Linked DNA regions of Tribolium castaneum. The protein of the gene in region 1 binds, or shares a complex with, the protein of each later gene. Links are inferred from orthologs where the notes say so. Each region holds a gene or a part of one and is shown on either strand. Other genes may lie near its edges.

Region 1 (3,009 bases):
CACACTACCTGCGTTCAGATCTACACTTTGTTCTTCACAGTTCACTACTACCTCAGCCTTAACTTTTTCAGTTACAGTTACAGTTGTCGTCTCTAATGTGAGCACACCGTTCGCTTCAGTTGAAGAAGAATCTTTTTTAATTCGAGATATCACATCACTTAATGTCTTTGTCCTACGTTTTTTGTCACTAGTTTTAGGAGGCGGTGGCGCCTCATCAGGCGGCGACGGTGTTCGTTGACGCTCCTCTATTGACTCCCTGCTGTTGTTCTTGTTGTTGCTGTTGCGATCTTTCTTTTTATCTTCTAGACGTCGATGGAACGGTATTCGACCAAATTCCGCTTGAAACGTTGGAAGTATGTGATCCGTCCTTGATTGCCAAGGATCCGTTGTCATTTCAGCTAAAATACTAGCACCGGTAGCATCACCTTTCACATCCCAGTCTTTCTGATGATCCTGAATGAAGATTTCCTCGCTACGATCGATCATTTTAACAGGATAACCTTTCCGTGTCACAAATGTATAGTTGTTTGTATTTTGCAATAAAACAGATTTTTTATTGGGATCAATCGGTGTTACAACACCTCCCAAATCAACGTCAGATTCATCTGGTTTCTCTTCTCGTGGATAAGGTCCATCAAAAATGTCACTTAACGCCTTTTGGAAGTGTTCAATCAATATGTCCAAAAGACCAGGCCATTGATTCAATCCGAAGTAGCCAACGGATGAATCGTCATATAACAAAACATTTAAAATGTCCAAAGCATACGTGCTTTCTGATAAAAGTCCAGAACGCAAACACATTATTATACGCCAAGGATCAACTTGACCAATGTCAGCTCTGCATAATCTTTTACGTCTGTATAATACCGGCAATGTTGCTTCAACACTATCAGGAGGAAACGTTATTTCTCTCTTCGGTAACTGACTTTGCGAATACGAACTATTCGACAACGTTGTCGCTTGGTTTCCTTTACCTCCTTGCGGTGGCATCATCGTAAACGGTTTACCAGGACGTGGACCTCCAAGAGGTGGCCTCAGCGGTGGATTCTGACCAACACCAGGTGCTGGGATTGAAGACCATTGCCCTTGCCCGGATTGTGGAGGCTGATAACCTTGATTACCCGACGGATAACGATCCCACTGACCACCAGCCGCCGGTCTTCCTCCCTGATTCCACTGCTGTGTACCCACTTGGGGACCTCCAGATGCCCCATACTGCTGTGGCGGCCTGTACTGGTTGTTATTCGACCATGCTATAAAACAAAACAAACCATTAAAACAAAACAATTACCAATGTTATTATTTTTAACGTACCATAAATATGTGGCCTTTGCTGACCGAAGGGATAGGTCTGCTGATCTTTGACGAAGTCTGGATGTCGCCTTGTTGGTTGCGGTCCAGGCGGTGGCATATTCTTGTTAGTCGGCGGTCCTCCGGGATAATTACCCGTTGCCGAAGGACCCTGCTGATTGGGATAATTCTGTAATTAGTCGAGTAAAAAATAAAGCAAAAAATGTTTAAATATGTACAACTCTTTTACCTGTTCCGGTCTGTAATAATCTTGCTGTGTCGTGTACGGTCCGGCTGGCGGTTGCGAGGTTGGCGGCCCTGTATTTCCCGGTGCGCCTGTGTAGTTTGGCCTCGGTGTGTATGTGGATGTTGGTGGTGCAGCTGCACCAACCATATTATAACGTGAATATGGGTCTTGTCCGGCAGCCGGCGGACCACCAGGTGGTGTATTGTTCGGATTCGGCGGCGGCGGTGCTCCTGAATCACCTGAATATGGAGGATACACTGGTCTAACGGCTGGTGGATAACCTGAACTAGCTGGGTACGTAGAATACTGATCTGGAGGAGCACCAGGACCAGGACTTGGATACTGATTGTATCCAGCCTGTCCGCTAAATCCCTGCGGTCTAGGTGGAGTGCCTGAAGGATAAGGAGGGTGCGGTCCACCTGGAAAGGGGCCACCCCGTGGTGGTGGTGGACTGGGAGACACATCATCAAAAGGGTTTGAAACGCTTACGTTGTCGGCAGCCCCGCCTGCAGGGCTAGGACCCCCAGGGGCGGCATTGTTTAAATGATTAGCCCCTCCTGAACCTAAGAGAATATAAAATACATATATACTACCCTCCTAACCGGGAAAACAAACAAAAATCAAACAATATCTCAAGGTCGTAATAGCGCCAAAATCAAGTAAAAAAATTAATCACGCTGAAACAAGCAGCTCCACAGCGTAAACCATTACAATGAATCATTCGCTTTAGTCTATAGTTATGTATAATACATGCTATTTATCGTTTTAAATTAATTTAGTCAATAAAATATTTATGGCCAAAACCGACGTTTAATTTATGAATAAGAAATAGATAAAACGAAAGTAAATAAATAATTCAAATAAAAAATACCTTCATCGAGAGATAATAACTGATAATACCGTTGAAACATCTTTAATTAAACACCGCTCGTGACACTGTTCATTCGCATTCGCATTCGAAACAAAAAGTAAAGATAACAATTTTTGTCGCTGAAGATAAACGCCCGACTGTCATTCTTTTTCATCCCCCCAATCATAATAAAAATTGACTAACATGACTCACCTCCGTGCGGAGAAGGCGCGTTAGATTGTGAAGATGGCCTCTGTTGAGGATTATATTCTGGATTTCCAGCTGGTGGATATCCGTAACCGTATCCGTCCATTGATGTACCGCCGGAACCAGGTGGCGGAAAAGAATCCTGAGAATTGGAAGAGCCTGGTGAAGGCACCGAGGCGGCTTTAGCTGATTTCTTTTTCGAAGTTGCTTCAACTTGATTTATTATAGGTTGAGGATCAATTCCTCCTCGATCGAACTGACATTCGTAAGCTAATAAATTTTTAGTATAGTGTTTCCTCAATGTGTATGCTGCACTTGAAGATGCACCGATACCCAACATTCCGGCGATATCTTTCCATGTTTTGTTTTTCGTAACCTTCGAAAATAAAAGAACATTATTTCTAACTAGCTAAAT
Region 2 (4,629 bases), on another chromosome or scaffold:
GTTGTGTTTTTTCCCTAATTTCTGTTTCAGGGGGTAAAGAGTTCGATCTCATGAAACCGAATTTCATAGCAGCGGCCTCAAAGCCCCTTTTGGATCAGTTCCTTCAAGTCGAAAAACGTGCCGATGACGAAAGATTGGCTGCACTGCTGGTTAAGAAGGCCAATGTTGGATGCAAATAGTTTTTTTTATTAGTTGTAATTATAATTATGCAATAAACTTAAGGAAATTGGTTCGGCATCAATTGTTTTATTGTAAATAGATAAATAAAGGTGGCCTTGGATTACACTGTCAAGGAAATCGCTGTGAAATTTTTTTGAAGTATTCATGCAATCTGAAAAGCAAATTGTTGGTAATTTATGACAATTTGACGATAATTTATTAATTAGAAAAACGGTCAAAATAAAAACAAATATACCAGTAGTTAACGTGTCACTATTATAATTAGATAACTATCATTAAAATAGCCATTTGCTTGACTTGTTGGCCATGAGAAATAATAAAAGGTGCACATTTTGATTGATTTATATTGTTATTATTTTCTAAGAAACATTTCTCGAAAATATCAAATGCAATTATTAATAATCCATTCAAGATATTGTAGCTTGTTTTTTTAATTCGCCCCATTGTTGTCTATCTTATAACTTTAAACATAATTTTTTATTACATTAGAAACGAAACCTCTCTCTGAGTTAACTAGAATTCTAAAAAAATCCTAGGTGATTTGATTCATGTAAAAAAGGAAAAAATAGCGCATAAAATTCATATCTTTGTTACTGACCAACATAACGGTTTAATTTTTATAAATTCTACATTTTGATACCATAACAACATTAATAACGCCAGTGTTTTTTAGAAAATGTAGCCATTTTAAATATTTTTAATGACAATCCACACTTTTGAATAGTACATTACTTTATTATCTTTCTGATAATAATAATAATAATAAAAGAGTTAAAACAAATCGAATAAAGTACAGTCAAACAAAATGAAAATGACGCCTCACTAAACCAGCCCCTGTTATCAATGCAATTTTAGTTTATTTCAAAAATAGAATTTTCAAAGTTTACTCTGACAGCACTAAAATTTGATTAGTGATTGTTCATATCAGCGACCAATTTTGCTATTTTATTTTACTAGTACATAATGAGGCTCATTATGGCCGCTACAAGGTGACATAAAGCTTCTAATTATGAACAGTCGAAGATAAAACATTTTTATAATTATTAATTACGCATAAAAGACTTTACCTTTTATTATAACCTACATTAAAAAGAGCGATATTTTCTTATACTGGTGCTTTTTTGTTAAAATGTAGTATTAAAAAATCATAAATATGGCATAATAAGAATATGTACTTTTTACAGATTGTTAGTACTTGCAAATAAAGCTATTATTACTTACTATCACGGCTATATTTAAAGATAAAAAGCGACTTTTTGGCTCAAGACCAAATATTTTTGATATATAGAATCCTAACGTTGAAAAAAATGGAATATTCAAATTAAAATAAAGAAGGCCTCCCGCATTTTAACTGTCATTTCATCTCATTACCTGTCCTTGCTGCGGATGCCCCCCCATGGGCATGGAATGTCCCGGATAGGGCTGCCCTTGCTGCATATTATGCGCGGGGCCCATATGCGGCGGTGCCCCCGGCTGCATGGGATGCCCTTGCGGGGGCGGCGGCCCGCCATGCGGATGCCCCTGCGGGGGCGGCCCCCCTGGCTGCATCTGCATGGGAGGCCCTTGGGGATGTCCCTGCTGGGGCGGCGGCCCGCCCATATGGTGTCCTTGCGGGGGCGGATGTCCCTGGTGATTCGGGGGCCCTTGCGGCGGCATGCCCGGATGCGGGGGCATATTCGGGTGCGGCTGCGGGGGCATGTGATGCCCCGGGTTCGGCTGCATCTGCACCATGTTGGGGGCATTCGGGGGCATGGAATGTGGGGGCGGCCCGTTCACGTGGCCCATCGGAGGCGGCCCTTGGTACGGGCTGTGGGGCGACGGGGGCGGCGCAGGGCTCTGAATCGGCGGGCCCATGGGGCTGGGCGCCTGCGGCGGCGGCATGGGGCTGCTCTGGGGCGAAGGACTCGCCATTTTTCTAAAAAAACAAAAAAAAATAATAAAAACGTGTTTTCTTCATTTGTTTCGAATTGGCCAATCAGGTGGCGTGATTTGTTGTTATTGTCCTTTTTTGTGCTACCATTATTATTTAACTCAAAATGTCAAAAAGTACGCCTACTTGATTTTTTAACTTTTTGTCAGTTTTTTCGAAAATCAAAAAACAAAAAACCGTCCCAAATTCAAAGTTATGGAATAGCAGACGTTGATTGGCCCACTTCACGTCATTTAAACCGCCTTTTACCCGCACTTGAAGGTTACGCGTGAGCATCGAACCGGTAGTGTTTCCCTTAATTAACATCAGAAAACCCAGGTAAGTGAAAAATACGCTAAAAAACTACGTAAAATTTGGAAAAAACGCTAATTCATACAGTTAGTAACAGATCGGAGAAATTACAATGCAATGACCTAAGACTATCCCTCTTATCCGGTCGGTTTTCCCACATAAATGACCTACCTACGTTGCACAAACACTAGTCAGAGTTTTTCCAAACAGAGCACTACGTTTTCCTCATTTTCCCTACTTTGGAAAAGCACTGAAAAGCTAACAATTTTGAGTTAAAAGGCTGAAATCACAGACGCCATTTTACCATCGACTCAACGCTCTAGATCTAGAAGCTTTCTTTCTTTTCGTTTATTTCTATCGCACTTTTCCCATTGGCTAAAAAGAGATGGCGTTGTTGTTACAGGTGGCGCTTTGCACAACCGGCGCGGGGAATTTGAATTGTGGAGATGGAGGAAAATTTATCATTCATAATTGAGTGCTTGAAAGAGCGCAATTATCCCCAAATACACGAAATGGAGGAGTGCAAAATTTGTGACATTTTCTCCACCCCCAACAGATCGTTTCTCGTGTCGTGGATTCTGCAACAAATCAATGTTCGTTTTGCTGAGATTTGTGCGAACGCAGATAAAGAAAAATTAGCAGAAATAATCTACTGTCACGGATTTTGTGATGATGCTAAGGAAAGCCTTCAATTCATGAACGGCGAGTGTGACCTCAGCAAACAAGTATTGATTTAAAGTACACCCTTATCAATCCAATATACTCGATTTTCAGTTTTTCATCATGAGCAAAATGTTTAAAGCTTTAGAAACTGTTCCCGAAACCATAACTTCCGATGTCAACAACTACGATGATTTGATGAACTTTGATTCGAATTTGTTCCCAACTTACGGATCAAAACAAACCCTAACTCTCAGTCAACGTGCCGCCAAAATTCAAGAATATCGCAAGGAAATCGCTGATCTAAAGGCAATTCTCAACTCACGAAACCAAAATCAAAGCCTTTCAATTGATTCGAATTTGAAGCAGCAACTGGAAGATTCGACTCAACAACTCGAAGACAATTTTCTCGAATTTAAGAGCAATGTTCAACGTTTGTTGGTAAACCACAAGGAACCGAATGAAATTAATTTTCCAGAAGATGCCTCGGAAGTAATTGAATCGTGCTGTAAAAATTCCGAGCGGCTCCTTAAGGTAATTTATTGTGGGTTTTAGGATAATGTTTTATTGGTTGTTTCAGTTTATGAAGAGTTTGAACACTATTGTCAGTTTTAAGAGAGAAAATTTGGAAAATGTTGAAAAAAAGAGAAATGGAAATTATGAAATGTTAAAAGAGCTCGCAGAATTGTGTAGGGAAATCAAAAGCTTGAAATAAAATATTTTGTACTTTGTATTTTTCTAATAAGTTTTGTGATTATTACGAAACTGTCTTGTCCTTAAAAAATAATAACATTTACAAGTATTTATTAGTTTAGATAAGTTGCGGTTATGCAACCAACTATGACTGTTTTTTTATGAATGGAAATAAAAATCATAAACTATTTTGAAACAAATTGTGTTTTTTTTTATCGAGCGAAAAATTGAAACAATTTTAATACAGCGTGTTAGGGAATGGTTTAGCAAAAATTTAAAGGCAGATAGAAAATGGCAAAACAAATCGATTTAGCAAAATTTATGTCAATCAAAAATGTATAGTTTTTCCAAAAAATCGTTCTGAAATTAAAGTCACAAATTTTGAGAACCGCTAAGCTAGAATTATAAAAATTAGCGTCAATTTTAATATTATTGACTAAACAGCCTAAGTAAATTAACTTATTGGTCGACTACGTTATTTGTTTATTTCAATTTGTGTTGTGTTACTAAATTTTACAAAAAAAATACAAATTTTTTTGCCAGGACCGGGATTCGAACCTTCCACACATGTGGGAACTGAACATGGTAGCCACAATTTTGAAAAATTATATAAGGGTGATATAAGGGTTTCTAACTCGTCTAATCATGGCAAATTCACATACGAAATATTGCTAAGCCATTTCCTAACAGCCTGTATAATAAATTTAAAAAAATGGTTATGCAACCCAATATACGTTTTTACGCCTATTCATCGGGATTGTGTATTTGCACCAAAATCAACTTGGTGACCTCAAAATTCTCATCCACCAGCCTTTCAACCACATCAAAATGGTCCACATCTTCGACATTCGTCCATTTTGTGACCACGCCGCCAT

The links.
Region 2: osa (region 1) and brm share a complex: the UniProt entries of both Drosophila melanogaster proteins name them as parts of the brahma complex. The link is inferred for Tribolium castaneum from reciprocal best matches to the Drosophila melanogaster genes osa and brm.

The regions. Positions count from the first base shown.
Region 1 is NC_087403.1:4,031,069-4,034,077, forward strand, and holds part of osa (trithorax group protein osa), read right to left. Parts: intron 2,971-3,009; coding exon 2,592-2,970; intron 2,101-2,591; coding exon 1,541-2,100; intron 1,481-1,540; coding exon 1,315-1,480; intron 1,254-1,314; coding exon 1-1,253. UniProt on the Drosophila melanogaster protein: Trithorax group (trxG) protein required for embryonic segmentation, development of the notum and wing margin, and photoreceptor differentiation. Required for the activation of genes such as Antp, Ubx and Eve.
Region 2 is NC_087400.1:7,722,731-7,727,359, forward strand, and holds the start of brm (ATP-dependent helicase brm), read right to left. Parts: upstream 2,816-4,629; 5' UTR 2,706-2,815; exon of another isoform or gene 2,660-2,705; 5' UTR 2,573-2,659; intron 2,096-2,572; 5' UTR 2,092-2,095; coding exon 1,552-2,091; intron 238-1,551; exon of another isoform or gene 180-237; coding exon of another isoform or gene 31-179; intron 1-30. Other genes in the region: uncharacterized protein LOC100141828, read left to right, coding at 31-179; uncharacterized protein LOC103314458, read left to right, coding at 2,848-3,126, 3,176-3,595, 3,642-3,776; kynurenine formamidase, read right to left, coding at 4,499-4,629. UniProt on the Drosophila melanogaster protein: Transcriptional regulator. Acts as a coactivator, assisting one or more dedicated transcriptional activators of ANTC and BXC homeotic gene clusters. Can counteract the repressive effect of Polycomb protein.